Anolis sagrei: one gene and its partner. The protein of the gene in region 2 interacts with the protein of the main gene of each other region in a biochemical or structural test. Links are inferred from orthologs where the notes say so. Each region holds a gene or a part of one and is shown on either strand. Other genes may lie near its edges.

Evidence for each region.
Region 1: the proteins of TNNI1 (region 2) and TNNC1 are reported together in a solved structure, tested with the Homo sapiens proteins (2 studies listed by BioGRID, with this or other methods). The link is inferred for Anolis sagrei from reciprocal best matches to the Homo sapiens genes TNNI1 and TNNC1.

The regions. Positions count from the first base shown.
Region 1 is NC_090022.1:68,381,238-68,389,179, forward strand, and holds the start of TNNC1 (troponin C, slow skeletal and cardiac muscles), read left to right. Parts: upstream 1-4,356; 5' UTR 4,357-4,501; coding exon 4,502-4,525; intron 4,526-7,942. Other genes in the region: NISCH (nischarin), read right to left, coding at 53-139. UniProt on the Homo sapiens protein: Troponin is the central regulatory protein of striated muscle contraction. Tn consists of three components: Tn-I which is the inhibitor of actomyosin ATPase, Tn-T which contains the binding site for tropomyosin and Tn-C.
Region 2 is NC_090024.1:204,277,874-204,286,608, forward strand, and holds the start of TNNI1 (troponin I, slow skeletal muscle), read right to left. Parts: upstream 3,663-8,735; 5' UTR 3,641-3,662; intron 3,531-3,640; 5' UTR 3,489-3,530; intron 3,368-3,488; 5' UTR 3,362-3,367; coding exon 3,236-3,361; intron 1,256-3,235; coding exon 1,166-1,255; intron 1-1,165. UniProt on the Homo sapiens protein: Troponin I is the inhibitory subunit of troponin, the thin filament regulatory complex which confers calcium-sensitivity to striated muscle actomyosin ATPase activity.

The DNA.
Region 1 (7,942 bases), on a different chromosome or scaffold from region 2:
CCCTCCCTCCCTCAGGAAAGCCCCTCCGCGGCCTCCTCCTCCTCCTCCTCACCGTGTAGTTCTCCACCAGCTCGGAGCCGAGGACGCGGGCGACTTTGGGGGGTTCCTCGCCTTCCTCGCCGGCCCCCATCACCTCCATGGCGACCACCACAGCTGGGAAGAGGAGGAAAGGCCGCTTGGAAGGGGAGGTGGTGTGGGAAGCTCTCACTCGGCCGCTCTTGTTGTTGTTGTTGTTGTTGTGGCGGCCCTTGCGCCGCCTCCCTCAGCAGTGGCCTCTGCCAGCTCAGCCAGGGCTGTCACCGCCGCCATCTTTGATTCCCCCCTCCCCCTCACGCCCAGTAGAGTCGCTGAGAGAAAGGACAAGCCCCGCCCTCGGTCGCTAACACTCCTTTTCTGCGCTTGCGCAGAAGGAGGAGGAAACGCGAAAACCTCGGCCTCGAGGGGGCGGGGCTGAGCTTTGGAGGCGGGGCTAAACGAACACAGGATGGGCCATACCATCGGAATTGGGAAGGGGTATTTTTTTATTATTACTTATGGGTCGTGACCGCCCATTCTTATGCAGGGCTCGCTTAACGTTTACGGCGAACCCCCCTCTCAACAGATGGAAGCGGCACCTGGAAAATAAACAATGTGGAGAGGGAGCTTTTGGAAAATCTTGCTCCGCCCACAGCAAGTCCTTGAGTGACAAAGGCTGCTCCTACTTCACTGTAGAATTGACGCAGTTTGAGACCACTTTCATAGAATCATAGAATCAAAGAGTTGGAAGAGACCTCATGGGCCATCCAGTCCAACCCCCTGCCAAGAAGCAGGAATATTGCATTCAAAGTACCCCTGACAGATGGCCATCTAGCCTCTGTTTAAAAACCTCCAAAGATGGAGCCTCCACCACACGCCAGGGCAGAGAGTTCCACTGCTGAACAGCTCTCACAGTCAGGAAGTTCTTCCTCATGTTCAGATGGAATCTCCTTTCTTGTAGTTTGAAGCCATTGTTCCATTGTGTCCTAGTCTCCAAGGAAGCAGAAAACAAGCTTGCTTCCTCCTACCTGTGGCTTCCTCTCACATATTTATACATGGCTATCATATCTCCTCTCAGCCTTCTCTTATTTAGGGTAAACATGCCCAGCTCCTTAAGCCACTCCTCATAGGGCATGTTCTCCAGACGCTTGATCATTTTAGTCGCCGTCCTCTGGACACATTCCAGCTTGTCATTAACTGCCATGGCTCAATCCTAGGGAATCCTGGGGGTGGGAATTGATCTTGAGAACAACAAAACATCACTCAGAAGACAAGGGAAACAGGGCCAGTTAACTCCTCCCAACAAAGGATTCCCCCAGGCAGGAGGCAGCTAGGCTTTGAAGCTGCAAGGCCATTTGAAAGGAGTGCAAAGAAAGGCTTAGTACATTTAACTCAAATTTGTTATTTATTTATTTATTTATTGTGTCATCAGCAACCAGACATTTGTATTACATTTTTTAACAAAAACAAACAAACAGACAAAACACAGAATTAGCAAGGTTTGGTATTTGATTAAATGTCCTTTGACCAGCAGCTGGTCACTTGGAGTGCCTCTGGTGTTGCCGCAAGGAAGTCCTCCATTGTGCATTGGGGGACATGAGAGAAGCCTCCTCGCAGGATTGCAAGACATCCGGGTGTCCCCTGGGCAATGTCTTCGTAGACGGCTGATTCTCTCGCTCCAGAAGCGACTTGCAACATACTTGAATTTGTTAAAGGCAGAATAAACTTCAAATCGCTGCCATCATTGAAAGTACTATGCTACCTTCGTGACCGTACGTCGTTCCAAGTACCAACCCGGGCCCTTCGTTCCTCAGGGGAGGTCCTCCTTTCGCCTCTACCAATCTCACAAGCTCGTCTTGTGGGCACAAGGGAGAGAGCCTTCTCTTCTGTGGCCCCCTGACTTTGGAACTCTTTACCTGGGGAGATCAGGAAAGCCCCTTCACCGGAAACATTTAAAAAGAACCTCAAAACCTGGCTTTTGCACTGTGCCTTTGGCGAATAGGTGCACAGCATTATATTTTACACCTCAACGTTTTTGGCTAATGGAGTTTGTGACCTCCAAATAGGATGTTCTGTCCCACAGCTCTGTGTTTTATGAGTTCCATTTAAATGTCCTGCTCCTATTTTATCTCATCATAGTTGGTTAATGGTTTGTTATTTGGAAAATGTGACCTGTCCATTGTCATCTCTATCGTGATTGTGTCTATTGGACTGTTTATTATTATTATTATTAATGTCATTTTGATAATGTTGTTGTTGTCTGTTGTATATGCTTTGGTTTTATTGCTGTATTATGTTGTCTGGGCTTGGCCCCATGTAAGCCGCTCCGAGTCCCCATCGGGGAGATGGTGGCGGGGTAGAAATAAAGATTATTATTATTATTATTATTATTATTATTATTATGCTGTTTGCCAGAACATTAACTTTTGATTCTTGCATATAATGTTTTGTTTTCTCAGGGAAGAAGCTCCTGCTGTTGTTATCCAGGATTTTTTTTCAAGTCAGGAGCAACTTGAGAAACTGCAAGTTGCTTCTGGTGTGAGCGAACTGGCCATCTGCAAGGACATTGCCCAGGGGACACCCAGATGTTTCTCCCATGTCCCCACATGAGGGGCTGGAGCTGACAGACAGGAGCACTCCACGCTGCCTGGATTTGAACCTCTAACCTTTTGGTCAGTAGTCCTGTCGGCACAAGGGTTTAACTCATTGTTCCACTGGGGGCTCTGTTATCCAGGAGAAAACAGGGCTAATATATTTCCTCCAGTATTTCAACTCTCCTATACATCTTTGGTATAATATTTAAGCTATATAGGTTATTGTACAGCACAGTAGCAACTATCTCTAGCACCAATCTACTACCACTATCCAGACCATTCTGTGATCCTTTTTTTGTTAGTGTATGAATATCAGAATGCATTTAAAATGGATTATCCTACCCAAAAAGTAAGAAAATCCGCAATGTAGCCCCTGAAGGGATATTTATTTTATTTTAGGTGCAGAATGTATCATACGAGTTCTCTATATCACATTAGTGCAAATGCAAGGTGAGGAAAAACCTATTTGGAGCAGAAAGAGAGTTAACATTTTAAAAATGATTTATTATTGGTCTTAAGTTAGTCCTCCCTGTTTGAAGAAAAGAGAAGAATTGCTCAATATAAATAAACAAGGGAAAAAATTCACAATGAATGCTGGCAAGAAAATTTTTGCAGTTCTAAAAAATGGGGTAATTTCCCCAATATCTGGCATGTACAAGGCTAATTTTAAATACACATACATATTTGACACATAAATACCTGACTTCATTATAATTTGGCCAGCTTTCCTAAGTTGCTTGCAACTCAGTTGGACAGAGGAGGGAGCTCTGATCAATGGAGAGAGATAAATCCTGTTTTGTGATATGGAACATACTTTCAGTAGGAATGCTTCTGCCTGAATGATGCAAAAGTGTAGGTCAGTGCAGTTGTTTTGTCCAGGTTAGAACATCAACCGCATCACAATGATGCTTGTAGGAAAAAAGATAGTAAGAATAAGTTCAGAAATTTATACAATCCAATGTGAAGACATCATTTCAAGACGTATTTTTGGAAACATTTCCAGGCTTGTGCTCATCTCCCTGAAGAATTAGATGTTACAATGAGTTGATGAATACGTCAAGCAAACTGCTAAAAGCAGCCTGAGGAATATCTATTGAATGGGGGATTCTGCCTCTCAGGGCCCTTTCACATAAATATATTAACCCAGAATATCAAGGCAGAAAATCCCACAATATCTGCTTTGAACTGGGTTATCTGAGTTCACACTACCATATATTCCAGTTCAAAGCAGATAATCTGGGATTTTATTCAGCTGTGTGGAGGGTCCTTGGCTACTACATGGTTTGAAGCATAGGCCCATGTTCCTGCCGTAAGGGTCTGTGGTTCTCATGCAGAATCTTGGAAAGTGTTTCTTAAAAAGGACGGTTCCTTCAGTAGGATCTTTTTATATTCCCGGTGGTCAAAAATTAGTTGTGCATTCTTCACCATCTGCCCTGGTTTTGCTATGACTTGGTCATGTGGATGGATGATGGGAACAACAGAACTCAGGCAGCAGAGGTGGACCATGAGATCATGTATCATCTGAATCCTGGAATAAGCATCAATGAAGGATCAGGTTTTCCTTCAGTTCTGTGTCTACTGAAGTGAAAACAGAGCTATCAGTGGAATTGGGAACTGGCTTTAGAAATGTCAGCTGTAACAAACTTCACATACCTCCCCTGAAGACAGGGTGAAAAGTCATGCCTGGAATGGATAGCATGGCCTTTTGTGGGTGTCTCTAAGCTGTGCGGAGCAGTGATCAGCCCTTCTTGATGGACACATTTAGGGCTGACAGCCTGCTATATAAGCAGAGCTTCTAAGGAGAGAAAGCTGGCAGAGACTGGGAATTTGTCTCTGTACAGTTTGCCATCTAAGCCCAGCTCCTGAGTCTTCCTGACCAACAATAAATAATTATGGATGATATTTATAAAGCAGCTGTAAGTAAGATTTTCATATGTAATAATACATTGGGACTTATCTCTAGCTAAGCATGTTTAGGACTGCATTTTGCCTCCTGACAAGAGAACAGGGTGATAATGTTCAGTCTGATGTCACAAATATTATGCAGTGATGATCACGTATTATGTGGTTAAATGTAGTAACAGAACTTTTGACAAGTGTTTTATTTGGTGCAGAGGTTTCTTATACAGCATAGCATATAAATGGGTTGCATGATTACTTTAATCAAATCTACTGTCTCAAGTTTTTTAAAGTTCAGGTTTGTTCTATAGCCCAATCCTGTACAAGGACAGATGTGCTGGAGCTTATTATTTTGAAGGGCTTAAGCCTGCTTTAATTCTGCATAGGATTTAGCTTTTAAATGTACTATATTGCATGTGAATTATTGCAGCCATTACATTAAATATTTGACAGCACATCATCTGGGGAGCTGGGGGAGCTCCTGTTTGTCAGCTCCCGCTTCTCATGCGGGGACATGAGGGAAGCCTACCATAGGATGCTAACACATCCGGGTGTCCCCTGAGCAACGTCCTTGCAGGTGGCCAATTCTCTCACACCAGAAGTGACTTGCAGTTCCCAAGTTGCTCCTGACACGGAAAAAAAAACTTTGTAAAAAGCCAATTATAATTTAATGTGTTATAAAGTCACATTTGAAGTATATGTATACTCAAAGGGAAAGGACTTTAAATCCTAATTGCTAGAAGTTGAAATATAAACCAAACTGAGTCTAGTTTTAAAAGTAGGTAAGGAGTCACTAGAGAAATGTATGGAAGTAATTAAAAAAAAAACCCTCATTTCATTGTGAATGGAAGAACAATCCAAGCTATTTTTAGAGACTAATCGAGTTTGGGTTCTTCGGTGGTTAATCCTGTTATTGAGAAACCTTAGTAAAACAGATTGAAGAAGAATGATTCCTGCATATCAGAGTGAGGGATAAGCTCCCAGAGTGGATTTTAACATCTGGTATGGCTTGTAAATAATCCACCAAAGCAAAGTTGTATTTGGGCTATGGACACACAGTAGTTTAAATAGTGGAAGATTACATTTCAAGGAATATCTGAGATAACACATTTAAACTCACAAATTGCCTGATATTGATTTACATACATTGAGATCCCATAGTGGGGGTGGGTTAGGGGGTAGATAGTAGAGTGAGGTTAGAATCCATATCTCCTCCCTGCATCAGTGGCCCAATCCACAATAGGCTATTAGTTGCTGACTTGCAAATAGAAATATGATGGTCCTGGCTGTCTGAAAAACCATGCTGGAGTCTCGTCTACACTGCCCTATAATGCAGTTTGAAATTGTATTATATGATCAGTGTGGACTCATATAATGCAATTTTCCCATATTTTATAGATTTTTTTTAAAAAAAAACTTACAATGCAATTGTGTTTTATCACAATCTGTCTAAATGTGTTTGCATGTACGAAAGGTTTTTCAAAAGTTGCTTCTCTTCTTTCTTTATGTCTTCACTACTTTTTATTATTATTCACTGCTCTCAAATTGCACCCCAGGCTACTACCATGCCCATGGCTTTTTCCAGCCCTGCGCCCCCTCCCCCTTTATAGGAAAAAATCACCCACTGGAGGAATCACTGCTCTAGAGCGCACCATTATACTTTGTAAATTATTTTACTGTATGTTTATTCCATATTTTCCCTAAGGAGTTGAGGGTACTTCATTTAACCCTCAAAGGTCTTTGTCACATAGGTTTAGTCCCCTTTCTCACAGCTGTATAAAATCCATATTGAACTAGATTATATGGCAATGTGGACTCAGATAACACAGTTCAAAGCAGATATTGTCGATTATCTGCTTTGGTATTCTGGGTTATATGACTGTGTGAAAGGGCTCTCAGCTGACTGGCTTAGCATGCCAAAGGTCACCTAAAAAAGAGGTTTATGGCTAAAGGACGATTTCAAACCAGATTTCTCCTTTCCAAGTCAATGTTGTTAGTTGGGTTGCTGTGAGCTTTCTGGTCTGTATGGCCATGTTCCAGAAGCATTCTCTTCTGGCATTTTGCCCACATCTATGACAGGCATCCTCAGAGGTTGTGAGGTCTGTTGGAAATAGGCAAGAAACACTCAGGGTGAGCTAACACCTCCCAATAAAGGATTCCCCCAGGCAGGATGCAGCCAGATTTTGAAGCTGCAAGGTCATTCAGTGCTAATTAATGTTGCCAACTGCAACATTCTGCCTGAAACAGACAAGAGTTCCTTCTCCCACCCTGGACATTCCACAGATATATAAATCTCATTTGTCCTAGTTTCCAACAGACCTCACAACCTCTGGAGATGCCTACCACAGATGTGGGTGAAATGTCAGGAGAAAATGCTTCTGGAACATGGCCATATAGCCTGGAAAACTCAAAGCAATTCAGCGTTTCCGGCCATGAAAGCCTTCGACAACACAATGTTGTTAGTGTTTTCACATAATTTCTGACTTATGTTGATCCAACCATAGAGTTTTCATGTCAGAATTTATATTCAGAGGAGGTTTGCCTTTGCCTTCTTCTAAGGCTGAGAGGGTATGACTTGCCCTTCATGGCTGAGCTGAGATTTTAACCCTGGTCTCCAGCATCATAGTCCAACACTTCAGTCATTATACCACGCTAGATCCCAGACTTGTCAATGCCTCTGACACCTTACCCACAAAAGAAAGAACATTATGTTATGCATGACTTTTATTGCAGAGTTGATTGCACATTTAAATGTGTAATGAATAATATACCCAATCATTTCTAAATACAACCATTCATTTGGACCAGAGGAATCCAGTTGATTTCTCACCTTGCCCACTGACATCTTATACACAGAGCTAAGTTTAGAACAGTGTCCAGATGCTAGTACGGAGAACATGGCCAGGGATGTGTGTCTAGATAAAAGTCTCCAGGGATAAATACCCATGTCAATCATGTTGGGGGAACAATTGGGCATGTTATCTTTCTTACCCTTACTCGCACCCCAGCCACTCACTAGTGCATAAAAATAGCCAGCATGCCAAAATAGTCAAGTTATGTGCGACACAAACAGAAGTGACAAGAAGCATTTGTTCACTGCCTTCAGAGTTTCCAGCTATCCTGGATTGCCAAAGGCTTGTTTTTTTTGTTTTGTTTTCTGCTATTACAATGAAAGAGCATCTCACAGCTGCTCCACTTCCATCACAGAGGCTTAGATGAATGGATTCAGGTTTCACTACAAAATTTTGAGTGGCGGTTTTGCTGCTATTGTTATCTGTTTCCAGTATAGACAGGCTCTTCCTCTTTTTCTGTCATTATCCTCTGAAGGTGCCCGATCTTTTGAAATGGATTGTTAACATGCTAGCTTGGCAAGACTGATGACTTCCATAAGGCTGTTCTGGCTCCACAAACAACTTGACGGGGGCAAAAGATTA
Region 2 (8,735 bases):
TTATCTGTTCTACCTAGTTTTTATGTAAATCGATAATTTTAGGACTGAGTTTGACAACAGTGGTATCTCTGTGCCCAACATTTTGACCCATTACTGTATAGAAACTGTAGTGAGTTCTCTTTTTAAAAAACAACACTCAAATCCACTTTCTGGTATGACAATTTGGTATTTTTCAGGTATTTAAAATTAGACCTATAATAAGACCGCCTATATTCATGGAGAATACATTTACAGCCTGACCAAAGTTATATTAGACTACAGTTAAAATTAAGCACCATTAAATTGCTTCACTTCCAGCATTGTGTTGGTGGGCCGAGAGATTCTTACAGGGTATATTTTCTAGGAATTTGCTAGCTTCTCCATCACAACTCTGTGGTAATTTTAGAACCAGAGGATCTCTAAAATTACCAGACCTAAAGGACCTAAAGTGTATAAACATACCATTTTCCACCAGGCACAGATAAGTGAAAGTCTGGATATGGGTTCTGTGAGTTACAGGAGTCTTACTGTATTTAAAAGGTGAATCCCTACCTCTGGGGGCTTCTAAGAAAAGTTAATCACCTTCATTTATGCCAGAAAAAGATGGTTTGAGAAGTGTGGTTAATCACCCATACTTTGGGTGATTTCACTACTGTCTCCACTCTATAACGTATCATCCTCACCATCATCACCAGTGGTACTATATTATAACCAGCTTTTTCCACAATTCAGGACACAAGGTAGCTTATAAAAGTTAAAAGAAATAACAGCTAAATAAATGAACACCATGATAACACTTTAAAATATAATTAAACCATAAATAGAAATTCATGTGGTTAAAAGCATGACCATTACAAAAAGACAAATATAGACAACGCAGAACATTATGAAAGGCCCTTCTCTTCTAAGCAATTAGATATCAAAGGCTGTTGAAACAAAAGGCTAATTTTCTCAAGAAAGGGAATTCTAAAGCCTGGGAGTAAACACTGAGAAGGCTCTCCTTGTTCACATTTTCAAAGCTACACATTTTAAGCTGTATGATTTACTGGAATGTAATTTTCGAAGAAAATGAATGTTTTATCTCAGTAGCAGGAAAATGAAAGGTACATGCACACTTTAAAAAAAATAAACTCAGATTGTAAACTGGATAAATTCGTTCAAACATTTTGTTTTGTCTTCTTCTTACCTCCCGTGTGTTGTGGTTGCATTTTGCTTCAATGTCGTATCTCTCTTCATCCACAATGTCCACCTTCTCATGAAGCTCCCTGCATAGGTCCTAGATAATTTAAACAAAAAACTGGACAGTGGGTATCTTCTATAGGCCATTCTTTTTCTAGATTGCTGCCAGTCAAAAATGCCATTTGTTTTCCTTTCTCTGGGGAAAAATATGGAGAAACTATCTACTGATTAAATTGGGGTGGAGCAAAACTGTCTACATTAGAAGTGATGTAAATGTGCTCTACTACAATAAGTGCATTGACAAAGTGCTCTCATATCTTGGAGTTTGTGATGTGTTCTCATGCTTCAAACGTTTACTTGACAGATTAATAAATCAGCAATAGAAAGATAACCTCTAGCTCTTACATTAGCAATAGCCAATATTTATATTTTAACAAGTCAGTGTGTACTTCTTGGAGCCCAAGTGCTTTTCTTGCCAAGCAATCACCAGTCTCCATGCAAAAATATAACTTAATACCTAGGGGCGATGAACAAACAACAATGGTGCACAGCCGCCAAGGGATGCAATATGGAATGAAGAAGGTAGAAGAAGAGGAGCTCTGAGAAGGTGGAAGAGCAGCACTAGGGGAGGACCAAAATCAGGAGCTCTAGCTAACAGACCATCCATGCTGCAGAGTTGTAGCAGTTTGACACCAGTTTAACTGCCATGATTCCATCCTATAGTATTCTGGGATTTGTAGTTTGTAGATCTCTCTGACAGAGAAAGATAAATATCTCACAATACGAAAAACCTCAGAATTCCATAGTATTGAGCCATTAGTTAGTGTGGTGCCAAGCTGCTATATTTTGCAGTGTGGATATAGCAAGGGAGGAAAGAGACTGGAAGCAGTGTGGGTGCCAAGATCATGGAGTGAGTCACTTCCCTACCCTGTCTAATGTAGCTACACCCCTGCTCTATGAGAGATCAGGATCCATCATCAAGCTGACTTAATCAAACAATAAAGGCTTCCATATGAAACTGTCATACAATTAATAGATACATGGGCACTGGACAGCATTTACCTATTAGATACAGTTACATAGACATTAGAAAAGAGAAGAATAATATTTAATTATAGAATCATTGAATCTTTGTGTTAGAGAAGTCTTAGAAGGATCACTAGCTAGTGTAGTTGTCCAGCCACTTTTTGAAGATATCCAGAGAAGGAGATTCCACAAACTAGATCAGTGGTTCTCAACCTGTGGGTCCCCAGGTGTTTTGGCCTACAACTTCCAGAAATCCCAGCCAGTTTACCAGCTGTTAGGATTTCTGGGAGTTGAAAGCCAAAACATCTGGGGACCCACTAAATTAGATAATGGGTTGCATTGCTAAACCACTCCCATTGTCTAATAAGTTACTTCAAATGTTGGATCAAAATCTACTCTTTCTGTGACTTAAAACCCCTTTGGGGCAGCAGAAAATGCATGTTCCTTTCTCTTTGTGAACTTGAATACCTTGATACATCCAGAGACTTCTGTGTCTCACCAGCTTTCTGGATGAGCCCAAAGTGGCTATGTGGAAAAGTCTTTAATGAAGTGAATGTGCTGTAGTTTAAAAATATTATATTTCTTTATTGATGTTTTAATATGATAGTTTATTTGAGTATTTGTTAAACATTTTTGTCATTCATTTTTAAACTATGAACTTTGCTTTGCATTCATATTATGAGCCATCCAAGGTACCAGTTGGAGGAAATATATAAATTAAATTAAATTAAATTAAAACAAATATTAGTGAAGTGTTGAACCCACTCTGGGTTTTATTCAGACCTTAAAAATTCAAGTAGACTCATTCTACTTGAATTTCAAGTGGACTCATTGATGTGTCCATCAGCCACCATTTCCTCTAAACTCTAATTCAGCAAATAGCTTCACAAATATGAGGCTTACTAGACTTCTTGCCTGTCTCTTGAAAGACAAAAGAAACAGGGCTTATTGGAGATCTGAACTAAATCTCTTGCTTTAGTTCTTTAGGACTTCTATGATGTTCTGGAAGTCTTATGAAACTGATATTGTCTTCCCAAAACCAAAACTCTACCTGGAGCTGGGCAAATGAAAGTCCGCTAGTTCTCAAAGGAGTGATCCTCTCAGCCAAGTATCTCTCCTTCTCTCCTTGTTTATCTACTTGCTCTTGTTCCCATTCTTCTTTGGCTTTAGCCAGCATCAAACTCTGGAAAAAAGAGGCCAAAACATTTATAAACAGCCTTTCTGGCAGCTCATTTTAACAATGTCAAATGGTAGCTGGTTTATTGGAACTGCTTTGGCAAAGCAAGAAGTCTGAATTGCCTCACCTTTAGAAGGAGTTTGCGTGAGGCTGTGATCTTGGATTTCCTCTAAGAAGCAAAAATAAATATAGAATGCACGTTAGACACAAAGCTCTTACAAATTTCATAGCCACACTGAAATCACTTTTAAGAAAAAAGAATATAGGAACTGCTCTTACCTCTCTTTAGATGTTGGTTTGGAAGAAATAATAAAAATAGGAGAAAATGAAATAAACAGAATGAATACGCAAAATACAGTTCTCTGTAAAAGTGGAATTAAATTGATCTACTGTGAAAGAGTGATCATACCACACCCATATTCCACATTGGTCTTAATATTGCATATGTAATTATCTTTCTTAATCTCACTACTTGGTCCTGTGGTTTGCTGGGTATTTATGAAGCCCATCAGTAAAATGTAGTACCCCATAACAACCAGTCATTGGTAGATAATATGACCTGTAAACCCCATTATTAACATCAGCCATTATTTCTCCTGGTTAAAGTAGATTGATGGTGCTCATCACCACATGCCTCAAACATGACTGAAAATTCACGGAATATCCTGGTGTTTTGCTTTCTCAAAAATGATACTGCTCCTCTGCATGCTTTTCTTTTTAATTTTATTACCCTGCTGGTCTCAAGCTCAAAAATTCACTTTCAACCTCAGAGTTATGTAGATATTAGGATATTCCTATCATAGTAGTAACCTCTAGTGTTTCACTCCAGTATCAGTAGCTGTCAGCAGAGAACAATATAAACACTATTGATGTGTAATGGTCAGCTGTGACCTACCATTGCAACAACCCACAATGCTGTGGGGGCAGCATCTCTTTGGAATATATTGGCTATTTTTTTCTAACTGCCCTCTACTGCAATTTGGTAAATTAGGATTCAGGAGTGTTAGCAGGAGTGGGTAAGCATTGAAAGGGCATAAACACAGAATTCTGTCACTTCCTAATGCAAAATCCATTCTGCTCCATGTAATTGACAGAAATGCGAAGGAGGTGTTTAGATGCTGTAGCCAATAACAACTGAGAGAAATAACATCGGTGGGAAGACACTATATGTACTTGAATGTTGTTCAAAATTTCCCTACAATTCTGCTAATTTTCAACCTAAAACTTCACAAAAGGGTCAGCTCAAGACATTTCCCTGCCTGTGGGTACTGGCTATTTTAGGGGCACCTTGCAAGCCCTGTGATGTGCAGCATTTTTCTCCTTTTTGCTGCCACCCACTAGCATCTGCTGCCTGAGATGAATCAATCTGCCTAAAGGTAGGACTGGCCCTGCCATCACACATTCTCAGGAGGATTTCAATAACATGGAAGCATAATTCATATTTTGAATGATGGAACTCAGAGTAGAATGTTGACCTTAATTTTCACAGTTAATCTCAAACCCCAGGAATTATGTATTATGGGCTTCATGATCCTACATCTCCAGGTGGGATCACAGGTGAGTTGTTGATGCTTGAGATGCCAGTATTACAACAATGTTGGTTATGGACTCTCTGTCTTCTATCCAGGGGAGTGCATGGAGAAAAAGCTATTTACTTTTACAAACTCCCATGGTAAAAAATGTAAGAACTGTGTTTTTACAGAGTTAAGAAAAGTTACTGATGAATAAAAAACCTTTGGTGATTTTTTTGTTAGATATAATTTAATTGAGAGGTCATGTTATTATTTAATTATTGGTTGTATGCTATAATTTGGTCTTAGAATATTGGTTTATTTTGGGATTTGGCTGGTTTGTTATTGTATGTGTATCTATGGTTGTATCAAGACATTAATGTTTGCCTTTTTTGTTTGTTGGAATTTGCCCTGAGTCCCCTTGGGGAGATAGTGCAGAATATAAAGTTGTTGTTGTTGTTGTTCATTTGCATTGCCCTCCCTGACTTGGCTGGGCAATTTAGGTAGTTGTAGTTCAGAAAGTCACTCTGCTTGAAATCATAGGTTCCACTCTGCCATCTCGTGGTTGATTTGTGGAACAGATTTATGACTAAAGCTGAAACTATTTTGTTCTCAAAATTTTCTCCTAATCATTTTCATTTGTGAATATTTGTGAACTCTCAAAGCTCAGAACATCTACTATTTCAGACAACTACTCCCAAAATCCCCAGTTAGCGTGTCAAGGGGATAGTAGCTTTTTTTGGCAATGGCCTCTGAGCATAGTCTGTGGTGAAACAGAGAGAATAGGCAATGATTAATGTTGAAGAAACATCTTTCTAAAATTCTATGTAGACCTGGTGGTGCTGGATGGAGGATGCTAAGTATTGCAGATTTTTAAAAAAAATCAAGCCATGAGAAACCTGTGATTCTCCAGAGGTTGGTTGGTTGAAGTACAATTCCAACCAGACCTTACCATTGGACAGGCTAGCTGAAATTAATCTGTACAGCTTTCCCACTCCTGTGACCCAAGGCCAGGGGCAGAAATACAGTAAGCCCTTCACATTCACTTGGGCTAATGACGCAGAAAGCATAAAAAAAATTACTATTTTTATGGGAAAGAACACTTGTCTGGGAATCTCTAGATCAATGGTTCCCAACCTTTATTTGACCAGTGACCACTTGACCAGGGACCACTTTGACCAGAGACCACTCTCCAACATTAGTACCAAAAGGGTTACAAATCAGTTTTTAGTCAACTTTAGATTCAGTTTGTTATTTGGGGTGCTGATTCAGAAAATTGCATTGGCTAGACCACATCAGTTCTAGTTTCTGATACAGAACATATGCCATCAAGTAGTCACCATCTGCTCATCCACAGAAAATGATTGTATAACTAATGTTTGTTTTAATCTATTGTATGATTTTATTTTGCTATTATAATTGTAATTATTGCGGCATCAAATTGTGCCATTGTTAGCTGCTCTGAGTCCCCCTGCGGGGGTGGGAAGAGCAGGGTAGAAATGTTGTAAATAAATAAATAAATAATCATCTAGAGCCACGGAATTTATTTTAGGCCCACAGGCTGGGAACCACTGCTCTAGATCATCCAGCACACCACTATGATCAACTTCTCCAGAATTCTTTTGGCAGACATTGGTCACAGAGTCACACTGGAGGAGCTCGAGATTCTTAGGGAGAACATTTCATCAAATCTGATTACCCAAATCCACAAAAGTCAAACTAGCAAATGTGGAAAGCCAACTGTAATGTGGATCCCCTAATACATTGCTGGATTATAATTTCCAATATTCTTCACATTGAGTGGCTGTCTGAGCTGCCAAGCTCTGGAGGACTGCATGATCCCCCTTTCTAAACAAGGGGGAAGGAAAGGAAGAAAATGCAAATATAGGACTGCTAATTTCAGCAGCACCCCTGTGACAGGTATAACAACTAGCTCTGCTAGATGACACGCATGAGATCCCTATGATAAAATTCAGATGTTTACTCTAAAATTCATGCTGACCAAACTTGTAGGACATGAACCCCCCCCCCCCCCAAAAAAAAAAAAAACCAAACAAAGAATAATGCAAGGGAAAAAATCTGTTACTTACGGTTCAGGCATCGTGGCAAGAAATTGTGTGCCTATAAATAGGGGGGGGGGGAAGCAAAGACCTTTAAATGTTTTTTTTAAAAAGATGCAAATCATGAAGTTGAACATTCCAGATTTAGAAAAGGCAGAACTGGAATAATCATTACTCTTCACCCAGTACATTTCTCAAAAACAAATGTTGGCAGCCCTCCTACTTCAATAATGATAATAACAAATAACAAATATGTTACTCATGATACTTAAAATTATTATGACAGTGAACATCTGTGATAATTGTATCTCTCCTCTAAGCCTATGGGAATATATTTCTAATTAAAACCAAATAAATAAATTATCAATTGTGCTTTAAATTGGATGCTTTGCATTTAGTATCCGAAACCCTGATTATTCTGTATCAGCCCATGAAAGCTTCATCTAGATTCTTAAGATTTTTATAAGTTTATCTTAGAGGCAGCTTCCATGTGCATCCATTCTGTGTTTTAATTAAACATTTAAAGAAATTTTCTAAGATGCTAAACTTAATCTTCCTCCCCCCAGAAAGATTCACCACCTTGCAAAGCTCATTGGAAATACAGGCACTCCCCCAAATTACTAACAAGATAGGTTCTGTAGGTTTGTTCTTAAGATGAATTTGTATGCAAGTCAGAACAGGTACATTTTAAAGTGTACCTCCAGCCAATTTTTTAGATAGATAGATAGACAGACAGACAGACAGACAGACAGACAGACACTGGATAGCATAGGGAAGGTTTAACACCCCTATAATGTTTGTTTTGCTATCTGTGCCCCTGTTCAGAAGATTCCACTTCTCTTTCGGTTCCTGTGACAGTTGGATTTTGAAATGTTTGGCTTATTTGTTATAGAAACAAGGATCGATAAGAAAGCCTCCATGGAAACACCTTTTCTCCATGATAACTCTTTCAGGGGTGAATTTCCCGTCCTAAAGATAGATTTCCTTTCACTTCCTGGTATCTTGCCCCCGTTTATAGTTAGGAGACATATGTAAGTAGGATGTTGGTAACTCGAGAACTGCCTATACTAAAGTGAGTATACCAACTGTGTGAGGGCTCTTTCAGGAGTGAATTTCCCTTTCTAGGGGCAGATATCTCTCACTTCCTGTTGTTTCACCCAATACTTATCTATGATGTTTATGACACAGCGACTGCTTGTATGGACTAAATCCCCAAGCAGATTTGCTGATTCACTGACAATGAAGCCACCACAGCTACAGCCATTGTCTGTGTACTGCTAAACGCAGTGAGGCTGATTTCCTAATGAACACCCATTATATTGGATTGTCTGTTCTGTTGCAAATAGCTTTGCATCTGTCTACCCTGATTTCTCTGATGCCCTTGGTTTTGGATTTCATTGCCTGTGAGTTTTGCAATTTCATGGCTCATATAATATTACACTTCTATGAGTATATAACTTTGGATTTGTCTTTTAAATAGCACTCGGCCTTATTGTTATACAAGTTCAGCTATGCTCTAGAAAGACAGAAAAATTATAAGTGTTCCATATATGATAGAGAGACATGATAATATGTTCTGGCTCTTTTCAAACATTTATGATGCTGTATCAAGTTGAAGCATTCAATTACATGGCAGACAAGTAGAAGGAACAGGTACATGAATACAGACACAAGATCCAGATGGAGCATTACTCACGCTCTCTCTCACTGTCAAACCATTTCTCTCTCTAAATACTACTAGCCTAAAAAGGATGTTCGCCACAAGAAGCATGTAACGAAACAAAAATGTAAACAATTGGGTGA